Alligator mississippiensis: one gene and its partners. The protein of the gene in region 3 purifies or fractionates together with the protein of the main gene of each other region. This does not show direct contact. Links are inferred from orthologs where the notes say so. Each region holds a gene or a part of one and is shown on either strand. Other genes may lie near its edges.

Evidence for each region.
Region 1: the proteins of SNAP23 (region 3) and STX6 purify together in Homo sapiens (affinity purification with mass spectrometry; 3 studies listed by BioGRID and IntAct, with this or other methods). This does not show direct contact. The link is inferred for Alligator mississippiensis from reciprocal best matches to the Homo sapiens genes SNAP23 and STX6.
Region 2: the proteins of SNAP23 (region 3) and VAMP3 purify together in Homo sapiens (affinity purification with western blotting; 6 studies listed by BioGRID and IntAct, with this or other methods). This does not show direct contact. The link is inferred for Alligator mississippiensis from reciprocal best matches to the Homo sapiens genes SNAP23 and VAMP3.

What each region holds. Positions count from the first base shown.
Region 1 is NC_081828.1:52,539,833-52,547,118, reverse strand, and holds the start of STX6 (syntaxin-6), read left to right. Parts: upstream 1-4,273; 5' UTR 4,274-4,347; coding exon 4,348-4,382; intron 4,383-6,168; coding exon 6,169-6,338; intron 6,339-7,279; coding exon 7,280-7,286. Other genes in the region: uncharacterized protein LOC132250811, read right to left, coding at 3,851-3,996. UniProt on the Homo sapiens protein: SNARE promoting movement of transport vesicles to target membranes. Targets endosomes to the trans-Golgi network, and may therefore function in retrograde trafficking.
Region 2 is NC_081836.1:20,082,178-20,089,853, reverse strand, and holds the start of VAMP3 (vesicle-associated membrane protein 3), read right to left. Parts: upstream 3,090-7,676; 5' UTR 2,984-3,089; coding exon 2,982-2,983; intron 856-2,981; coding exon 774-855; intron 1-773. UniProt on the Homo sapiens protein: SNARE involved in vesicular transport from the late endosomes to the trans-Golgi network.
Region 3 is NC_081825.1:237,544,025-237,552,097, forward strand, and holds the start of SNAP23 (synaptosomal-associated protein 23), read right to left. Parts: upstream 3,040-8,073; 5' UTR 2,951-3,039; intron 2,746-2,950; exon of another isoform or gene 2,655-2,745; intron 2,408-2,654; exon of another isoform or gene 2,280-2,407; intron 1-2,279. UniProt on the Homo sapiens protein: Essential component of the high affinity receptor for the general membrane fusion machinery and an important regulator of transport vesicle docking and fusion.

The DNA of each region.
Region 1 (7,286 bases), on a different chromosome or scaffold from region 3:
GAGAGCAGATTTAGACTGGACATTAGGAAGAACTTCTTCACAGTTCGAGTGGCCAAGGTCTGGAATGGGCTCCCAAGGGAGGTGGTGCTCTCCCCTACCCTGGGGGTCTTCAAGAGGAGGTTAGATGAGTATCTAGCTGGGGTCATCTAGACCCAGCACTCTTTCCTGCTTATGCAGGGGGTCAGACTCGATGATCTAATGAGGTCCCTTCCGACCCTAACATCTATGAATCTATGAAATTTTCAGGATTTCAAAATATTCTGGGTTTTTCTGTTCTGCATAGAAGTGAAACCAAGGCCCTCTACCATTTCTTGAGGAGAAAAAGATAAAGACCTTCACACACCACAGAAGAGTCAGTCTCTCACATTCCAGGCAAGTATTCTAATGACTGGACTATGGGGACTGTTTCTGGCTCCCACAGGAGAGATTTAGATTTTAGAGAAAGTGGTTGGGGGTACTAACCTAGGGTGAAGGGGAGTAGAAGAGCAGGGACCTGAAGATGGGGCTCCTACATTCCAGAAGAGGATCCTGCTCAGAAGGCGATGGCTCTTCTGGGATGACAGGTACATGCATGTGTGTACAGGCACAGTAAGAACTCTTTCTTGATGAACATTTTGTCAAAACTGGTATGGCTTCAACAAATCAAATATTTTTCACTGAATAGTTCCCAGTGGGCTCTACAGTGGGATGCAGCCTACAAAGACTCTCCTCTACCAGAAATTTTTGGCAGGCCAGGGGAGGAACATACTGGAGCAATCTGCAGCACTGCAAAGTGAAATCAAAACTTTCATTCAGGAACTGAGACAAGACCACACCCATCCTAGAAAGTCAAAAGAGCTTGGTTTTTTGATAGTGTGATATTTTGATTTTAAATATCATTTATATTAAATTAGCTTTCAGCTTAAAAAAAAAGAACCACCTCCTTGCTGTGAATTTTGAAAATTCTCAGCTATTCAATAGAGATCTTTGCAATTTTCCAACTTGTTTAAACTTTTTCCTAGAATGACTTGAGAAAAGAATTCTCTCTCAACTATAAAGTTATCCGGTAAAAAAAAATTACCAAACAAAACTTGTTACTTGCATATTCCCTGGACTACCATGACTGCCATGACTACAGTACCACTACAACTCTGCTAAAAAAAGGTTAATGTACTTTATTAAGGAACTTCTAATCTCCATAAATTACTATTACAAGCTACTATTTGAATTGACTTGTTCTCTGTTTAATTCACTCTTGATCCAGATAATGTTGAATGAGATCCCACACTTGAGTGAGATGAATTGCACTACTCCACAATACTGACAGCAAAGCACCATAAATCACTTTTGTTAGGACTTTTGCAGTTGCTTGAATAAGTCCAAATATGATAACCTTTAACAAGATGTTCTTAAAATACAGCATTTGTGTAGAAATACATTTACATGTCAGCAAACTGTCTTCGTAATTAACAAGTTCAAACTAAGCTGACTCACCAGCAAAATTTCTGAAGACACCAAACTGCTACTACCAGCCTAGAACTACCAACTGGCTACCACAAAAATGTGCAACAGGTCTCACTGATAAAGCTACTGATCTCTGCACTTCTGAACCAGTGTTTTCCTGGAAGGTAGCAAAATTACTCAGTACACAACTGCATGAACCAATTTATAGTATACAAATGAAATGCAACACATCGAGAAATTTTGCTTCTTCAGATCATGCTGGCACCTGAAAAACAGTTGGCACTTGAACATGGAAGTATTTAGTTACACCTGTTACCAAATAAAAGACATAGGAGCCTCTATTGTTGCTTCCAGAAAAGGAGAAGAGGAATGTGGAGTAACTGTTACTGGTTTTGTGCAGGTATTGCGGGAACATTTCAATTGAAATAAAGGCTTCATTCTCAGATGGAGAAACTGACTCCCAGCTGGGGAGAGCTTTTGTGCCAACAGTTTTCCCAGAAAGAAATGAAGAATGAGAAAGTGCTCAACAATTCAAAGCCACATATATCTCTTTCTCATGAAAAAGGTTAACTTTCTTCCTTCAACCAAAACTGTGGTCAGACCCCAGCAGACAGGTCTCCCTAGCCTTTCAGTACTTTTAAAGTAGAAGAGCAAAGGCCTAAAGTTACTGGAGGAACAGCCGGATGTAAGTAGGCAACAACACTGGTGTAGATGTACAGGTAGGGTGGCCATCATAGAGGACATTCCAGTTTTCTGCTACTCTGTTTTCTGCTACTTAGTCTAGACAACCGGACTGTCCTCTATGATGGCCACCCTACGTACAGATAGGGCAGAAAAGGTGGTGGAAACTACACAGGCAGTTGTCTTCACTGAAACTGGCAGCTGCTTGGGCAGGGAGATTGTAAAGGGAGGTAGAATTCAAACAGAATGGGACTGTGAAACTTTAAGGTGACAGGGGAGCCTGGAAAAGACGGGAATCAGTAGTAGTCTTTGGGACAGACCCCAGTGTTTTCTTTTGCAGGTTGGACGAGGACAGGAAGGGCAGAAGAGCCTGAGACAGGTTCCCCATTCTGCTTCCCTTGTGTCCCTTCCATTTGTCCTCTCAGACACCCTCTGTTTTCACAAAGAAGTGTCCTTCTTCTTGAGAGCGAAGAACTCTGGACAGAGCATGCCTCTCCATCTGCCTACGGATGACTCAAGCCATGGGAACATGCAACAAAGGACTCCGACGTGTGACTACATCATCCCAATTAAAGGGGGCGTTTTATTTAAAATCCAAAGCCTATCGTTAAAGAGGCTCTCTCACTGAATTTGATTCCCTGGTTTCGCAATCCGCAATGGCTTTTCCCTCAACATTCACGATTATCCTGTTCCAGATTGCAAAACTGCTCCACAGATTTCCCACGGCGAGCAAGTCGCCTTGCCAAACAGGCTTCCTACTTTAAAGCACTATCAGCTGGGACATCTGGCACGACAGAGCAAAAGTGCAGTCACATTATTTGGCCGGTTCAGGGGTCCCTGCCCAAGGTCTCAAATTGTGCCCCACATGCTTCACCCATACCCATGCATGCATCTGCTCCCTGCCCCCCTGCTCCCCCCACGAGAGTATCCTCCCTTCCTATCAGTGGCTCTCAACTGTATTTAGATTCAAGGTGCCCATCACTAGACTCAAGGCGGCTCTTGGAAAATGGCAGCTTGTTTTCTGTGTTTTCTGACAGAGGAAATAAAAGAACAGTATGAAGGGTCCCGCGGGCGCTGTGACTTGCTGGCCCTTAAGTGAGAGGAGATTTCCTTCTTCCTCAGGCCCCAGGCGGCCGGGAACAACACGTCACCTCACGGCACTCGAGTCTTAAATTATTGTATTGGAAGCTCAAAATTATCATATTTGCTGAAAAGCTGCCCTACACTGAAAAAATATGCAAATAAGTCTGCCAGTAAGTCTTATTTACCTTGTACTGCTCACTGTAACTTGCCAGTGAGCAAGTGAGAATTGGATCTTAAAGTTGATTCATTTCTTTCAAGGTCAGTAGGCATAGAAAAGCACTGACAGCAAACCCAAAACCTAGCTAAAGCCCTCTGGAAACAATTTGGGGTTTGCAAGTGATGCAGCAATCAGTTGCTTAAAAATTATGGTAGGTTTTGGGCAGACAAGGGTCCTTGGGTGAATTTGATATCTTTTATTAGACCAACTCAAATAGTTGGAGAATATGTATTAAGCAAGATTTTGGGTTCAAAAACCCTTTGTCAGGCTAAGGAAGTTTCAGCAGTTGGTGTGCGCTCTTCCTGGATGGAATGAAAAGTAAATGGTAGGTTTTGGGCACTTTTACTGTCATTGGCCGGACACCGTGCAAGGGTCGAAGTTATTGTACAAATCGGTAATGGTCGTACACCCGGGAACACCGCCTACCCTCCTGCTTCGCGGGACCGGAGGCCCCAAACTGGAACAGCTCCACCAGCCCAGCCAAGCCGCGCAGCCCGCCCGCCCGCGTCAACTTCCAACCACCGAGCGGCCGCGAAGTCTGTGATTGGCCGAGCCAGGCAGGGCGCGGGCATAGCCGTCACGGCGGAGAGGAAGGGGCTGCAGCGCCTGCGCAGTACTTCCGTCAGCAAGCACACGCGCACACCGCGTCCCCCGGCGGGGGCTGGGCTTGTACCTGTCACGTGACAGCAGCAGGCACAAGTGCACACCGCGCTCCCGCGGGGATTGACGGGGTTGTGCCTGTTACTGTCACGTGACGACAGGAACGGGCTCCCCTCCCCCCAGCGCCGGGGCGGGGCGGGGCGGGGCGGGGCGGTGCTCTTACGTCACGTGACTGCGGCCGGGGTGGGGCGGGTGGGGCTGGGCTTAGTCCGGCTGGGCGCGGAAGCCGGGGCTAGGTCCGGGTCGGGCCGCGCCGCGCCGCTATGTCCATGGAGGACCCGTTCTTCGTGGTGAAGGGGTGAGCGCGGCCGGGGCTGGAGGCCCCCGCGGGGGCGGGGCGGGCGCTCCCGGCTCAGGGCTGCCTGTGCGGGGCGGGGCCCGGGGGCGGCGGGCGAGGTTCCAGCGCCCCGCGGGCTACCGGGTGGGGGAGCCCGCAGCAGGGGCTGGGCGGGCCGTGAGCAGGTTACCGGCCCTGGCAGCGGCTGGAGCAGCTCCCACCCGGCCGCGCTCCCCGTGCCGGGCTGGAGCCGGCTCCATGGTGTCCCTGAGGGAGTGGGAGGGGCAGAGCGGGCCCAGGCAGCGAGTTTCCGTCCTCCGATGCTGCCTGGAAGGGGCTGGCCAGGAGCCGGCCTGCCGCGAGCTGGGGCAGGGCTGGACGGCCTGGTGAGGTCCTTCCAGCTCTTAATTTCCTAGGATCCTAAGAACAACCTTACTGTATTTTCTGCTCTCGTGTAGTTTGAGAAGCACCGACAAAGAGGAGGGAGGAAAGATAACATAGCACAGGAAACAAGACCTGCCCTTGACAGAAAACTGAGGGCTTCAGGCTGGGGTACCCCAAAGCGGGACACAGTCCTTCTAACTGGCCCACGTTCATCCCCTTCATGGCCACAAGCTGAGGACACAGCTGATCAACTCTAAGCTTTTATTAGTGAAGTCCAACCCCTATCTGTCAAAGAACAGAAGTCCCCACATCTTTGAACAGATCTGCACGTTATGTGCAACCCTTAAACGTGGGGCAAGCTTTTTACAGCTGATCATAAGACCTGAAAAGCTTGCTAACATGCCTCTTGTGTATAAGTGTTACATCCCAACTTTCCATTCATTTGAAAGGATATTCCCTGGGAATAAGACAGCAGTATTTACTTATGCAGATAATCATATGTTTATGGGTAGATATTTGCTATTTGCCCTCTGATCCCAGAGAATAACTATAATGTTCAGTGCTTTCAGCAGCATGCATTCTCATGCTAACATCTGAAACACTTTTCTATGACACTTGTTGGAGCAGTAAAGCAGTTGAGTTTATTAAGCAAACATAGCTCAATAAGTACTGTAAATTACAAAAAAGAAAAATGAAATAAGCAGATCCAAGCTGGACACAGTTGGTTCATGCAGAAATTCTGTAGGGACAGTTCCTGCAATTCTTATGGTCCATGATTAGGAAGTAGCAACATGTTGTAGTGGAGAATGTGCATAGGAAATTACAGTATGAAACATGCCAGGATTGCCCTCGTCCTTGTTGGTTCTGGAATGAAAGATGCTATAGAAATGCAAAATGTCTGTTTGTTAAAGAGTAGCATGGGTTCCTCCATCCACAGAAGAGTACTGAAAAAGCAGTGCAATTGTCTGGGAAATGTTAAAGTTCTCTTTTTAATAACAGCAATAGGTGAAAGAGGTAGATCCTTTCCATAACTGTCACTGTCTTTCTGTTATGAAATTCTGTCACAGTTTCTATTGGGGTAGAAGACAAGACAAGATACTGATTATCTAGTAACCAGTGTTTGTGGGGAATCCTGCCTTGAGCAAGGGATTGGACTAGATGACCCTTGAGGTCCCTTCTAGCCCAACTTTTCTCTGCTTATGTGATTAGTTTAAAGAGAAAATCAAGCAGGTTGAAGGGAGGATGCTTGAGAGGAGGTCATTAATGCAAATAACTTTAAAGCCAAAACAGTGAAAAACACCACTTGTCTACATGGAGAATCAGTCTGTTACAGCAGTAGTGGAATGATTCTGTTAGAGCTGTACTACAATGTTTTTCTGTGTAGTTGAGTCATTAGTATTTTTGTTAATCATCTTGATTTCAGGGAGGTCCAAAAAGCAGTGAATACTGCTCAGGGGTTGTTTCAGAGATGGACGGAGCTCCTGCAAGACCCTTCTATAGCCACAAGAGAAGAAATTGACTGGACAACTAATGAGCTCAGGAACAACCTGCGGAGCATTGAATGGGACCTGGAAGACTTGGATGAAACTATTAATATCCTTTATATGGACCTGTTACAGTTTAGATACAGCCTTGTGTTATTTCTACCTGAAGGATGAGGCTGGCTTTTAAAGAGTAATTCAGTTTCTTGGAAAATATGCGTTGTATGCTATAAAGTTCTTTCAGAAGCTGCTGTTTTCATAAGATATCATTGTATGGTTTAGACCAGAATTATTCAACCTATAGATTGTGACCCAAAATAATATATGAAGGGGTTTCAAACAAAAATGGATCAACAAACTTTAAAAATGGATTATCCTTTAAAGGAGAACAACTTGGGAAATGGTGACTTTTCCCTTGCAAGCTGGCAGAGTTCCAGCCTGTGAGGGGCTGCATGGGCCCTCCCCTGCCCCACACACTGGGGGCTGGAACGGCAGGGCATTCGGTCAGGATTGAGGGGCACTGGGTTGGGACTGGCCATCAATGTTTACAAATGGATCCTAATGCAAAAAAGGTTCAGAACCACTGGTTTAGACAGTGGAGTCAGTGACATGCCAGCTTTTCCTCAAAGTAACCTTTTTTTTTTATATGTCCTCTCTCCTTCTTGATCAGTAACATATAGTTAAAAGTAAGATGCCCTGTTCTAAAAGGTTCCTTCTGTGGGATGAATTTTAACTGGAGGCAGTCAGTCCTCTGTTACACTGAGCTCCAGAAAAGAGAGTTGAAAAAGGATTAAAATTAACAATTTCTGATAGTGCTATGCTGTGCCAGTCAGGCAAGCCAAAAAATTCCAGCGGGCTCTTTACATTGGTACACAATGGCAGGATGCAAGGACTGTTAAGCATCAGATGCATGATTTTCCTAACTAACCAAATCTTGGTCCAGTTAACTTTATTAATTATAGCACTTAGGTAGTAGTATCCTTTCAGGTAGCCAGGATATTTGCCTGAATGCTGACTACTGGTTCAGTAGTGTTTCCTTGACTTGTCATTAACGCATTGT
Region 2 (7,676 bases), on a different chromosome or scaffold from region 3:
TAAACCACTTGATTCCCCCACTGCCTGGCAACACCACAGAGGTAGGAGTGGTAGGGGGTTAAACACAAATTTAAGATGACCCTCCAATAACTAGAGTCTATACATAGACGATTAAACCAATTTATAAAAAGTGTCCATATAGAATCTAGGTCAGCGGTAGGCAACCCCCAGCACGGGTGCCAGAGTGTGGCACGTGAAGGTATTTTGCTTGACACTCATACCATGGGGTGGATGGTGGGGAAGGGCCCAGGGCTGCACTGCTACAACAACGTACAAGTCAAAGTTGGGGGTGTTTCTGGCACTCTGCCCAAAAGTTGTCAACCCCTGAATTATAAGGGGGGGGGGGGAGGGGGTAAAAAGAGTAGTAATCTTAAATTCAGATTCATCTTGGAGTCAGGTAATTACAATAACTACAAGTTTCAATGTCTTTTCAGCTCCTGAAAGGGGAGACTCATCCTCTCTCAGAAGCCAAGCTCACCAATGTCTTTTTAATGTCCAAGTCTCGCAGAGTTAGTGCACAGAGCAAGTGAACCAAGGGTCACTTACTAATATAGGAAATATAGGAACAAGTTGCTTGCAACAAATGAAGAAACAGTACATGAGACTAAGGGCAAGAACAAACATGAAGAGATGCTGACCCTTCGTTAACATACCCAGGCAGACAAATTTAATTTTGACCACATTACATTTTAGCTGCATCTCCCTCCACCCACCACCTCCCCTGGGGTCTCCTGATGTCAGCAGACCAGGAGAAGTGCAGGTGAAGACTGTACCTCATCTACTTGATGCTGTGTTTGCTGAAGACGACGATTACTGCCAGAGGCAGCGCTTGAGCTTCCAGTGCCACTTGCCGACCTGCAGAGATAGTTGTAGTTATTTTATACTGCATCCCTAACTGGGACACAAGACTTCCAGACAGATTTTGTATGCAAGTCACAGAAAATGGCTCAGCAACCAGTCCCCATTCTCAGTAGGATGAAGAGACAGAAATGCAGTTATTGCCACAGTCCTTCAGTGGGATTCTTGCAACTGCCCACAAGAATAAAGCCTCATCCACCTGCTCTAAAGCAGGGATTGTGGGTAGCCTTCCTGCCACTTTCAAGCATCCCAAAAAACAAAGAACCAGAAAGCAGCAGGGTAAGGCACACCTGAGCTTCCTTGCTTCAGCTCCAGTTCTGGAGTGAGAGAAATAGAAACCGATGGCCAGTAAGTAAACCCTGGCAATAGCAGCCTCAATAGCAGCCTAGAGGCAATACAGACATTCCCTCAGACCACAGTCTCTCATAAGTTAGTAGTCTTTAAGCAGCAAAGAAGTGAAGTTAGCTACGGGCAGAGTTCCTAAGTCTTTATCACTAGTGCATGGCTGTAGAAGCAGCAGAGGGCAAGCAGAGGCAAACTAATACAACAGCCAAGAAAGAAATAAGAGATAAACAATAGCTCACATTGCTATCAAATGCCAAGAACTGCAACCCATCAATATTTTTCTCCCTTTTGAAATAAGGGCACATGAATTCAGGCACATTTTATTATTTGAACTTGGAAGTTCAATAGCTGTCAACAGAAATTCAGATCAACTTGTGGAAAAAGAGATGGTTTCAAGTAATTATGTCCATGCAGCATCTCCTGCTATTTAATAATTTTCCTAGGTCACTAGGAAAAGAAAGCCAATTCAGTATTCAGTGCTAGATATTTCAGAAGACAAGAAGCTTCATAAACAGTTACAAAGCTTCTCTGAACCCAGTTTTTTCCCCAGAGCCTCAGGTAGCAAGTGACTGTGTTATTTCCTTCTACAACTTTAAAACTTGAAAGTTTATAAAACACAGCAGGCATTTCCTCTCTCTCTCTCATATCCTTCCTAAGTTAGGGGAAGTTCTTCACTCATCTGCTCAACTTTTATACCTCTTTTATGAACACCAGGTGCCTATACTTCAGTGCAGAGGCTGCTCTGACATTCTGCAATTACAGTGTAGCAAACTCCACTAATGGAATCTGGAGTGCTAATTACCACACTCCAACAGCCAGCTTGCATCTGGTATATCATGTCCCAGCACTTCAAAATAGTGGTAAGGGCACTTTATTTTCAAACACACCCCACTGCCATTTTGAAGCACAGGGATGCTGATACACCAGACCCTTCAGGTACTTTAATTAGAGCCCCTCTAATTAAACTCCCCCCACCCCTGGAGCAGGTGTATAGAGTGCACTGTGCTTAGTATTCTGGTTTCCTCTGTTCCGGATCCAAGCACACCATTACATTCCCCTTAGCCAATATCAACAGGTGGCAGTACTCAAGCAATTAACTTTTTCTAGGAGTCTTGAAAGCAATATCTGCAGTTAGAAGCGACTGAACTACCCCCGACTTAGAAGTGAATTCCCACTGGGCTGTGCGTGGAAGGAAAGGGGAAGGCTCAGGCCCCTTGTCAGATCTCTAGGGGAATCCTCCCGGAGAGCTGGATCCCAGCACTGACAGGACTGGTGCCACCTTTTTGAGTATGGAAGATTAGCCCCAGCACCTTAAATCTTTCACGCAAACTGGACGCCTCTTAAACAGAAAGAAGGCTGCCGTGGCTCCCGCTGAGCTCGGGGCACTTCGGGCGGGTGCGAGAGCCCCTGGCAACGCTCTTACACGCAAGGAGCCACCGCGGCCGAGGCCCACGCTCGCCGCCCCCAGCTCCGGGCCCGGCCCCTCAGGACCAGCCAGTCTCGAGGAGCCTCTTGCGGGCGGGCGGGCGTCACGGGAAGGGACGAGCGGCTCCGCGCCCCGCCCCGCCCCGCCCCGCCCCGCCCAACCCAGAGTTCGGTCGCGGGGACGTCGCTATCAGCCCCCACCAGGCCCCAAGGAGCGCGACAGGCAGGGCCTAGTGCCGCCCCCCAGCCCGCCCGCCCGCCCAGAAGAAACCCAAGGACAGCGCCAGCTCCCGGCCCAGGACACGCAACGACCAAGCCGGGTCCCCACGGCTCCTCCCCTGCCCCGGACTCACATGCTGGCGGGCGGGCGAGCGGCCTCCTGCTAACCTCACGGGCGGCCCAGGGAGCAGCACCAAGCCGGAAGCAGTGCGCAGGCTGGGCAACGGCAGGATATGACGTCTGGGGAGGAGCCTCTTCAGCCCACGCCACGGCCTGTGGGAGGGGCCTGGCCTGGGCCGCCGTCGCCCGGGGCGGGGTCGCGGGCCGGGGGGGGCCGGGCCGGAGGGGGAGCAGCAAGGCTGAGCTCGCAGTCAGTCCGGCGCCGCCCGCGCTACCTGGGGCGACCCGAGCCTGCCGTGCCGCGGCGCGCGGGCCATGTCCGTGTGGGCAGCCGCCCCGCCGTCACCCTTGCTGCAGAGCGGGCGGCCCAGCCGGCCGGCGCGGCACGGAGCGGGGGCCAGAACCCGGCAGCCGACGTGCTCGTCCCGGCTGAAGGGCCTGGGCTCCAGCGCGCCCGTAGCGGCTGGGCCTGGCTCAGGAGGAGACTCGCACCCCCATCCGGCACACCCCGCCTGTCCGCCGAGGGCGCGAGGGTCGGTTGCCGGGCGCAGCCCCACCTGGATGTTAGTGAGGTGAAAGGTTCAAAAGTGCCTCGGGTCTGTAGGGAGCCTGCACCCCCTCCCCCTACCTAGCTGAGGGCTTGTCCTGTCAGTAATGGCTGGCGAGACACTGCCGTGTTAGTCTGAAGTCAAGTAGAAGGCAGGATAGTGATGACGGTGCCAGCTTGGGTGGGGGGGTGTGAACTCCAGCACTTTTGTGTTACTGTGTGGGGCTAGCTGGCAGGCAGCCTCTGCACTGTAGCACCCTCGTGCCTCAGCCAGCCCAGGCCACCATCTACATGTGTGTTCTGGCATATGCAACTACTCCACTGTAGGATAGTATTTGTCTCAGACAGTACTACCCTACAGCAGAGTTAATTAGTTTACTGCACTCTAATAAGAGGAGCACAGGTAGATGGTGATGCTTTACTGCAGAACTAATTAGTTAGCTCTGCGGTGAAGTGCACATGTAGAAGCACCAAGGGGTCATCCAATGTGGTCTTGCAGCTGTCTACATTTAAGTGTAGGGAAACCTGAAATCGCAGTGTCTTGGCCCGGTACAACAATCTACCTTGGCAGGCTTAGTTGTCTGGGATCTCTGCATAGTCTGTGAGGACACAGGGACTGCCGAGGTGTAATCTGGTTTGACCAGATATGCATGTTTGAATCATTTGACTCAGGACCAGCACACCTTCTGGATTATTTATGCTATAAAAGCAAAAAGGGTTATTTCCATTACTGAGGTCTGATGTAATGTAATTTCCCAATATTTCCAATAGGAGAGGTACTGACTTTTGTTTGCAGAAAGTTAAAAATTGCTAAATGAAATATATATTTTATTATTATATATTTCCATTACAATAGATTCTAAAGGCCTTAATCAGGACTGGAGCCATCTAAGTGCTGGTCAAATATTTCTTGATACTTTCTTAAGCTCCTCCTGTTCCATTTTATTCTGTTAACATCATTCATACATCTATAATCTTCCTGGATGTAGGGTTCAGTTGCTCCTTCCTGCAGGGAAGTGTCATTAATATTGTGCAATAGAAACATGAGCACTTGTACCCTGGTTTGCATTGGAAAGTGCACACTGTGAGTAGCACATCTCAGTCTGGAGAGACAGTGACTGTCATGCCTGGAAACTGGGCCAAATTCATCCCTGAAGGCATGGATCAAACCCATCAACATTTGATCAGTTTTCAGTTGTTTTCCTTAGAAATTATTCTGCCATCTCATACAGCATCATGATCTCTAGTATCTGACAGACACTAGTCTCTGAGCCTGGCTCAGAATTTATCTCCCCTGACTGTTGGCTTCAGGGGAGTTACAGCAGGGATGAATTTGCCCCCACATATTTTAAATACAGTGAGGTTTCTAGGGGTTGTAGCCATGTTGCTAAATGTTGCCATGAGACACATACAGAAAGGGAGACCAGCGTCCAGGACGGCAAAACCCATTTCCTTTCTGCTGTAAAAGCTGATTTAACAGTCAAAAGACAAACTTTTACCCCATAGCAAAGGGAACCAAAAAATGGAGGAAGGAGCCTTATCCAGCCTGTCCCACTACTGCCTAACTAGGAAGTGAGGTGTGAGGACCATGCATTCTCCCTGAATCTTTTATGGCAGTGCCCAACACCAGGCTGAGCATCTTTGGGCTGACCTGAGATCTTAGAAAGATGTGGCAGGCAGTGCACTTCTGAGTAATTACCTGGAACTCTTGGGGGCATCAGAAGCCAGTTGAAAGTCCAGTAAGTTTAATACTTAAGAAGTGTCCTGAAATGTGCTGGTCTACATACCGGATGGAGGGTACACATTACAATCCAGAAGAAAGACAGATCAAGAGATTTTAAGGATCACATTCTCTCAGATGTGAGTGCTTGGACCCACTCAGTGCAGTCAAACCTGCATATCCACTACACAGCAGGATTTGGGTCTATGATAGTTTAAAAAAAAAATCAAAAAAGACAGCTGCGTTTGAAATCCAGCCAGTCAAGAACCTGAGTGATGTTTGCAAATAGGTCATGTGACAGACTTGCTTTTTAAAAGGCTAACTATAGTTACTCAAGGAAGATGCAGCTCCTTGGTTAAAATGGAAGGTTAAAAAACACACACTTAGTATGGGGAAATTTTCTTTGTTTTTAATTTACAGCAGAAAGAATATAAAGCATTCAGAAAACATTTTCCATATTTTAAGGGCAATTCAAAACATTTTGCATGGTTCCAGCAGCTGAGTTCTTCAACAGATCCATTGATTCAGTGATGCTTTACATGCACAGTTACAAAAATAAAACTTACAAAAGAGAGACATCTATACTAGTTTTACATGCAAGTTTTGGGGACTCCCCATCGGGCGCCAACTACTGTGTGGAACTGCTGTAAGCGTGCAACCATAGAGGGGGTTCATGTTATATTCTGTATTTCTTTCACACAGTATTACTGTTTTCAGATGTGTTACATGAAGGAGCAATTCCACTTGCAGGAGACAGAAGATCCTGCTCCTGGCACTTGGGAATCCTGATTTTCCCAGAAAGCTGCACTATCATCTATTAAAATATGAGTTCCACAATCAAGAAAAGGGTGAATAGAATCACTTCACTTCAGTGGGACAGTGTATTTAACTCACCAGTGGTCACTGATACACTGAAGACTTATGACCTGACACGGCAAAGCACTTAAGGATATACTTAACTTTAAGCATGTGAATACTCCTATGGAAGCTAACAGAATTGCTTACATGCTTGATATTAAGCACGTACTTATGTGTTTGGCTGAAGCAGGGCCTCTGTCAGTAGATACATCACAAGGCCCATGGATTTGAAATAGCTCTGTATATTACTGACTCTGTCGGCATGTCTACATGTGCAGTTAATGCTATTTGGCTATTCTGTGCAGTAAATTTACAGCGCGGTAAACTAATTTACTTCACAGTAAGCGGTGACGCTTTACTGCACGGTAGATTAGCCTGTTGCACATTAAATCATCTCGTGTAGACACGGTTTCTCAGTACAAACGCAAGGGGTTAAATACTGCCACTGAGGTCATTACTCTTTCTTGTTAGGAAAAGATCAATTATATGTGCCATAATACTGGCAAATGGGACAAACACATTCAAAGTGTCAGAGTTCTTCCAGTACTAATACAGAGCATTCCAGAAGGAGTTTCTTTTTTCCATTTCCTGTTCCCATTTTTTGTGTGTGGAATACATAATGTGTATTCCAATTCAATAAAATAAATTGAAGTTAAAAGGCTGCCACAGCCACAATGTGGCAGCCAGACAATTTCTCTTATTGAATCAGATCATAAAGCAGCAGTTCACAAATGTACAGAGTGTTCTGATCATGAGCTATAGCACATACACTGTAATTCAATGCTGGCAGTGAAAAGAAGTAATTAAAAACAGGTACAATTATAGAAAAGGCACCAAGAGCACTGACCCCAGTTTTTTTGCCACAACCTTTGTCTTTACTTTTCTTTTAAAGACACCAGTTTAAAAGTTTATAATCTGTGATATTTTTAGGCTTCACAACAAGCCTTGCAATTACATATTTCAGTTGGTGGCCTGGATCAAGTAAGAACAACTATTCTAAAACTAACCATCTAAAATTTACACCAATCATTTGGAAATTTTAAACTGGCACTAGCAAAATAAACACACAGGAGCAGTTTCTGATGTTAGCTACACCTGTGTAAACCCAGAGTAACTGTGCCAATTTCAGGGGTATTACTCCTGATACGTCCCAGTGCAATTAAGATCAGAATCTTGCCCATCCTGTTTAAACTTTACGACAGTTTTACATTAGTATTTCACTTTTTAAAATATCTGATTTCTTTGGCTCCTCACTATGTGGAAATAGCAATATACCATGACACCCCTACAAGATCAGTTTGCATCTTTTAAGTTTTTACTTATTTTTATTTTTTTTTATTTTTGTGCAATTTTTATTACATTTTCTGACTTCCAGCAGGAGATATGAAAATGTGAAACATATTTTCTACTTTCATACTATTTCTTTTTTTTCAGTTTATGTTCATTCTAAGTGTTCTTTATTGGAGTGAGTGTATGGTGTTAAGCTAGATACGATTTTGTATTCTTATGATTATCTGCTTTGCGAAAGTAACTTAATTTTTTTAAGCAATATTAGCATTCACATTACTTGGCACCATTGGCAAA
Region 3 (8,073 bases):
CCCTTGCAGAGTTCCAACCTGATGCCCATGCCTCCCACACAACCTGCCCTGCCCCACACACAGGGGCCTGGCGCTTGGCCATCAATGTTTACAAATGGTTTCTGGTACAAAAAAGGTTGAGAACCACTAGTCTAAACAATACCTCCTGATGGGTGTGCCTACAGGTATGACTGACAGATGCAGCCTGTGTTTATAGAGAAGGGTTCCCATTAGAAAATAAGGACAGCAAATAGAAAACCAACATGATCTAATTGCTCCAGTCACAGAGTGGAAGCCAGGGCCTCCCAAAGGGTAAAACTCAGCAAGTTTTTATGGCCTCAGGTGTGCCATAACTACCCATGTCTCAGTTTCCCTTCCGGCAAAGTAAAGAACCCTTCCTCAAAGAAATGCACAATGAATCAGCAAATTGATGTCTGGACAGATCTGAAGTTAAAAATGCCAAGTATTACTACAAGTTCAATCACCTATTTTCAACTGACAACAGAGGGCCTAGGCCTTGGTCCTTCATGACCAGTACACATGAGCAGGAGGCTCAACTCCTGCATGAACTGAAGTTAGAAGAATTCTGCTTTTGTTAGAAAAAAAAACCTCAGTCCTCTGCTCATATCCATATGGGTAATACGAGGTGTTAAAATCCCTTCCCCCATGCCAGCTACTGTCCCTTATCTAAACAGACAGGACAGCTGAGACAACACAAAAAAACCACACACACTACTCTGCACCCTCCCAGGCTTCACTTATTCATTTCCTGAACACACTGCACAGAGTAGAGAGCTTGAAGAATAGGCACTGGTAATGCCATCTCTTCCGGGTAACACGTTAATGTGCTCAGCTTCACATGTGTCCAGTCAAGGTTTGCTGCTGGGAAAGCCAATAACTTGCGTCAAGAGTCCTCTCCCAGTTGGCTGGTATCCAATCATTACACAAGGATTTTACACACGTTGCTAGCTGCTGTTGCTGCCTCAAAACGCACTAGTGAAGACCATCGCTCATGGTGCTCAAGTTTAGAAACAAGAGCTCCATTAAGAATGTCTTTGCGCCACTTGCCAGCCCCTGTTGAAGAACACCTCAGGCCAAAGAGCTGCCTCAGCAGCAGGCAGCCCTAGGGCAGGCCCTCTCCCTTGGTCCTGATAAGCCTTCCTAAGGAGCTGCTTGGTCCTCAAAAGCAGCGTTTATCAACCTATGAGTCATGACCCAAAAGTCAGTCACAAGAATATATGAAAGGGTCACCAACAAGTTCTAAAATTGGATTGTCCTTTAAAGGAAAGACACATGGGAAACGGTGGCTTTTCCCTTGCAGGCTGGCAGAGCTCCAGCTTGTGGGGCATGGAGGGCTCCCAGGCAGCCCTTTACACCTCCCATTGTGCCCCACATACAGAGCCATCCCTTGGGTAGGGCGAATCAGGGCAACCGCCCTGACCCCCATGCTTTGGGGGGCTCTGTAGAGCTGGGCAGAGCAACCACACGTCTCCCGTAGGGCCTGCCTGGAGCTGGTGGCTCAGCCCCCTGCCGCAGAAGAAGCATCTGGCCACTACCCACCAACCCCCAACCCTCCCTGCAGACTCCTCCTCTGCTGAAAAGCGGCTTGTCCCAGGCGCTCTGGATTTGCTTGGCCCCAGCGCCAAGTTTAATTGCTATGGCACTGCTGTGCCCTACCTTTGCAGGGGTCCAACAGCCCCGCACAGGCTGATTTGCCCCGGGGCCCGCATCCCCCTAGGGTTGGCTGTGCCCACACATGGAGATGGAGGCAGGGGGGTGGGAGTGAGGGGCACCAGCCATTGGCATTTAAAAAAAAAGAAGTTGGGAACTGCTGCTCAAGAGCGCAGAGAGAAACACTGGCCCGAGCAGGCTTGGGATCCCTGGTATCACGTCCCCTGGAGCCTGCTCCCGAAGGCAACACCAGAGAGGTTACAGACCCGAGGGGACCCGGCAGCCCCTCTCCTGTGGCGGCGGAGGAGCAGGTGTGGGCGCAGCAGCGCTCCCACCACGGCGGAGGCACAGGAGGCCGCTCGGCTTCTCCAGTACACGGGACGGGGGGCGCGCCGCAGGGGCCAGCAGCCCGCACGGGCCCCGGGACGGCTCGACCCGTTCACAGCCCGCGCAAAAGCACCGCAGCAGGGGCCGGCGGAACCGCAACCGACCCCCGCCCAAGCCCAGAGGCTGTTGCTCGCCCGAGGCAGCGTGACCCGCCACCTCCGCGCCTCCTCCCCCCGGCGGAGCAGGCGGGAAGGCAAACCCCGGTCCCGGTCCCGGCTCCACCGACAACAGGCACCTCTCACCTACCGCTGCCGCCCTCGAGGCTGGGCCGTAAGTGAAAGTACCGCCACTGCCACCGCTTTAACAGCCCATCGCTCGCCGCACCGAGTCGCAGACCGCCGCTGCCGGAAGCGGAAACCCCGCCCACTCGGAGGAGCCGCACTCAACATGGTGGGCAGGGAGGGGCACCATCCTGGGCGGGGCCTATCGCGGCAGGCGGAACCGCCCCAAAGCCACACCCGATATAGCGCCCAGCCCTCTGTACTTGCGCTCTAGCTACTCGATTTGCTGTTTTGCCTGGTCTGTAACGAGCGGCTCTACGCTGCATCAGGACGTTTTTCTGGAAGGCTTTTCTGTGTGTCCCAGGGATCCCTGGCCCAACTTTCTTCAGCCCCTACCTCCCTGGCAGGCTGTGAGGAGCGCGTGACCCGGGAGACCACCAGTCAGTCGCTTTCGGGAGCGCCCTTCAGCTGTGCGCGGCTCCTGCGGTCCTCGAGCCCCTCCCAATGCTCCCCAGAGTAAGGCGCCAGTGTCCCCATGCAGCCGGCTGCCCGCAGGCGGGGATGATCTTGTGGCGCTTCCCAGGCCCAGCACAAGGAGAACCTGATCGGAGCTGAACGGCGTGAGTTCCCACCCCGAGAAGAGCTCGGCCATTCGTGCTATGAGGATGCGCCCCCGGTTGCTCCTGCAATACCTCTTGTTTCCCTCCCTCCCCTTTCGCGCAGGATCGTTGCACGTGGCACAGCTCAAGAAGTCCCGCCCGGAGCTGCCCTGGGCGCGTTGTCCCGGAGACCCGCTTGCTGGCGGTAACGCCCTGTGGGCGGGTCACCTCTGCCTCCCGGCCGTCCCCGATCGAGTACGCAGCCTGTCGCCGGGACTACAATTCCTAGCGGGCGCTGGGGTATCCCGGCAGGCAGAGCGCCGCCGCCGCGGCCGATTGGCTGAGCGAATGGGGGCCTTTCCTCGCGCCGCGCCGCGGTTCCCTTTTGGGTCGGCGCCGCCACCGCGCGGCGGGGAGACGCCGGTTGGGGACCGCGCCGGGTGATGGCGGCCTGGGCCGCCGCTCTGCTGTGGGACGAGGAGGACGCGGCCTGTGAGTCTGGCGGGAATGGGGCCAGGGCTGTGGGCGCGGGGTCCGGCTGGGCTCCGTCCTGGGGAAAGCGGGGGTTTTGGCTTCGCGGGGCGCCTGCCCCAGCGCCCCCTGAGGAAGCTTCGTACCCGGCGGCCCTCCCTGCCTGCTGTGCGGGCGGCTAGGGAGGAGATCCCCACACATGCCTCGCCTCGCTTTTTCTGTAAGGCAGGGGTGGTCCCTGTGGCACAGGGGCACGGGCAGCGCGTGTGTGGCACGCGGGTCGCTGGGGGACCACGGGCCACACCGCACCCGGTGTGCGGGGGTGGAGCCGCGAGCCAGGCAGGGAACACAGGATGGGGAGAGCAGAAGGCAGAGCAGTGGGTTGGGCATAGGAGGGGATTGGAGCAGCACTTGGGAAAGATGCAGGACTTATTTGTGGTATGCCTGCCAGAAAGTTGACCATCACTGGTCTAAGCCATCACAGCTACAGCTGTACTTTGTCACACCAACATCTTAACCTAAAAAAGCACATGCCACAGAAAACAAGAATGAGACCTGCTCTGTTGATGCAAAGGTTAGTTAAATAGCAATGTTACATGCAGCAAGCACTTCCTCATGCTTTCTGGAGAAGGTGTAAAGTAAGTTTGCAGATTGCAAGGTGCGGATGTGTTCTGAGGAGCGTATCAAAGGAAATGAGCATGGAGGAATAGTATGTTATGTTGGGAAAGTGTTTCTGGGGTTATTCTTGGACCTCCCTTACTAGTCAAGTCTGTTATTTCTCCATTCATTACTTTATGTAGGGAGAAATTGGCTGCAACAGATGAGATGGTAACTTATTCTCCATAGCCTATTTGCTGATTAGCCTTTGGTACTGGTAAGAAGTGTGAAAGACAACAGCTTTAGCATCATCTCTTCCCCCTCCATATGTACGGTATTGTTAAATCAATGGTCTGTCCTGAAGCTTCCAGAATACTGTTTAACTTCATAGTTCCCATTTTGCTTGTGAAGCAATATGTGCGTAGGAGGTGCCATCAACCTGTACCTTGATTTATGCAATATTTAGAATAATAGAATAATATTTAGCATTTCTTGTGTTTAAGCTGTTTACAAATATAAATTCTTCCAACATTCCTACAGAGTAGGTAAATAGACTTAAACTGAGTCAGTTCTTGCTGGCCTTATTTTTTTTATTAAAAGTTTGTCTCTACAGGATTGGGACTTGGGGATTGGGGCATATTTGAATTAATTAAGATTCCTTTAATCATTAAGTGGTTGCATGTTTCTGCAATGGATTTGCCACTAGGGGGTGATACAGACTTTTTTTTCTTGCTTGCCTGTTGCCTTGCTTAGGACTAGTTATTGAAAGCAATAGAAGAAAACATAGACTACAAAAAAGTATGTTTTATTTAAAACATTACAGGTGGCATGTGTATTTTTGCTCATATACAAGATCATGCTGAATTACATAACTATTTGTAGCTACAGGTGATGAGATTTTTTTTTTCTTTTATCCTTTCAAACTGGTGCTGAAAAGCCTACTACCATAGATAAGAGTCTGTTTTCAGATAAAATGGAAGAGACACCAGATAGCTATCATGTGCATCATTAGGCTAATATCATCATTTACCTTTCTGTTCTTTTCTTGGTATTGAAAAGTTACTGTGCCCCATCTATACTAGTAATTAAAATATTCTTCAGTCTAGCTAAGAGAAAATCAGAGGCTTGTTTTTGAAAACATAAGAAGCTGGGACCTTTATTAAAGCAGGAAACCACTGCAGAGATAACAGGTATGAGAAGTTGGCTAGCTGTTGTCCTCACAAGGTGAGGAGAAAATAGTCCCTTTAGGCCCCAATTCATTAGGGTGCTTCTGAATGTACTTAACTTTTATTTGAATGCAGGACAAGGTGGTACCTTATAGATTTACTTGTTCATAGAGTTTTTGTTGGCTACAACATCCTTGTCAGATACTATGAATGGACTTGCATGCTGTCTACCTTGCAGCGGAATCAAAAAAACCTGCTCCTTAAAGTGGAGTGGCGCATGTGGTGGCAGCATGTGCCCCCCAAAACCAGATCTTGGCCTTCTGGAACCATTCTCTGGCTGCCAGCCAGGTTCCCAGCTGCAGGAGCACCACAGCTGTGACTCCTCAAGGGCCGCAAGTAAGGCTGCTGGAATCCTCCCCTACCCTACCTGACATAACCTGCCGCAAGCCAGAGGGCACATAGCATAGGTTTATCTCAGGCAGCACAAGGTGTGCTGCTGCTTCTTGTCCTCAGGCAAACAAATGTCCACCCAGTGAGCAGGGGTGTGCGGGCCGGGAGCGGTCCGAGATTCTCGGGGGTGCGCGGCGCGGGCTGTGGCCAGCAGCCCTGGCACGCGGGTTGGGGAGTGCAGGCCGGCAGACTAGAATTAGGCACGGACGCTTAGCGGTTGATTAAAGATTATTTTACTTACACCAAAGATGGTCGTGGTGCAGGCAGGAAAACTTGCTTGAGTTGCAGTTACAGACAGAAAAGAAGAAAAGCGGACGAGAGTTCCTTCCACGCGAACCTCTAGCCCAATCCGGTTGAAGGCTCTAAACACGCAAGCCCATCGTGTCAACCGAAGAAAACAACTCGGAGAAAGAGCTCTGGATACACTCACACGAAGTTTGCTAGGCTCCGTGGAACTTGCGCGCAGGGAAGGGGTTCGTTGAGGGATCGTTCGGCGACGGGGAGAGGCCAGAGGTTGATCAGACCCCTATAGCCTTCTCAAGGTATACGCTGGGTCCGATAGGCTCCGCAGCGTTTAGAGATCTTCACGAGACATGAAGTTCTCCTTCTCCTGATAGTTGTGGAGTCCTCCAACTTGGGCGGAAACCGCTCAAGCCGCTTATACGGCTAGCAAGCCAATCACTAGCCGTCACGTGGGAATAATTTAGAACTGGCCAATAGTGGGACACAAATTTGCATGCGGGTGGCAGGAACTCCTTTGCACCGTGCATTTCTCTTTGCAACTAAGAAATGCACCCTGCAAAGAAAGCTCCTCGTGGTGGGAAATAATTTAGCAGTGCCGAAGCGCACACAAACAAAATCACACCCTTGGGTTGTGACAAGGGGTACCAAATAGAAAGGAAGAAAGTCATTTAAATACAAGAGATAAGGAAAGGGGAGCAGAGAAGAGAACACTGCTGAGTGAGGGAAAAGTGGATTGAAGAGGGTTGAAACGGTTAAACAAAGCTTTTAACCCACTGAGGGACGTAGGGGTTATATAAAGATAGTCTAGATCATGGGATAAGAATTTAGAGTCTATATTAAGCTATGCATAACACAGTCCAGCTTGTGGATGATTTCTTGTTCTTCAGTTTAAATGTTTGAGCTTGCTGGTGTAGATGCATATAAGCTATAGCATGTACTGCATCATGTGTGGCTTATTGACCAAAGGTAATAGAAAAAATGATGTGGTTTTTTTTTTTCTTTGACAGGGCTGAGATGGAACCTGTAGATGCAGTACATCTCCATATTACTAAAGCCTTTGACATTGTCCCACATTGCATTCCCATAAGCAAACTAGGGAAGTGTGGTCTAGATCAACATGACTTGTCAAACATGACTTGCAGCCTGGATTTGGCATGCCAGACCATTCTATCTGGTAACCTGTCATGCTACCACAAGTTGGGAGGTGTGCCCTGTTACAGAATTCATAGTCCCTGAACCCTGATGGACATGGCATCAGTGGCAGGTCCTGGCCCTTTGCCATCTTCCAAATATGGATCCTTTGTAATTGTTGCTGGTCATGCAGATACAGCCTGAGGAGCCCCTGCAATCTGGGTCCAGCCTGCAGCCTGAAGTGAATTTGTCACCCTTGGTCTAGGCAAAATTGCCATAAAGATTGGGCAAAAGAAATCTCGTGAGGTTCAACAAGGACAAGTGCCAAAGTCCTGCACTTAGAATGGAAGAATCCCACACACTGCTACAGGCTTGGGACCAAATGGCTAAATAGCAGCTTTGCAAAAAAGGACCTGGTGGTTACAGTGGACAGTACGCTGGATATGAGTCAACAGTGTGCCCTTGTTGCCAAAAAGGCTAACAGAATACTGGGCTACATTAATGAGGCAAACACAGATCATCCAGATGTGGCCTCATCACTGCCAAACAGAGGGGAAAAATCACTTTCCTCAATTAGCTGGCCACACAAATCATGACATTTTTTTGTGATAAATTTAAAGTATGTTATAGTAGGTGTTTGAGTTTTAGCGTATGTTTTTTTTTTTGTTTTTTTTTTCTGGTTCCAAGATGATCGTCAGCCAGCCAGCTGCCACTCCCCCACAAAAAAAAAAAAAAAAAAAAAGTGTTTCCAAGAGGGCAAGGGGAGGACTTCTGGTGGCAAAGGTCAGAGGTTAGAGCACAGGACATCCAGTCTCAACATGTTGACCATGGAGCAAGGCAACTGTCAAGGTGTGGTACTATCCATGAAGCCCTCAACAGCTCACCAAAACTCATTAAGCGGCCCTCTGGCCGAAATAATTGCCCGCCCCTGAGCTAGACTGTTCTTATTGGTGGCAAATAACAGGCAAGGAGCAACAGTCTCAAGTTGTAGTAAGGAAAGTTTAGGTTAAATATTAGAAAGAACTTTTTCATGGGGAGGGTAGTAAAGCACTGGAACAAGATACCCAGAGAGGTTGTGGAATCTCCGTCCTTGGAAGTTTTTGAGACCTGGCTAGACAAAGCCTTGGCTGGGATGATTTAGTTGGGGATGGTCTTGCT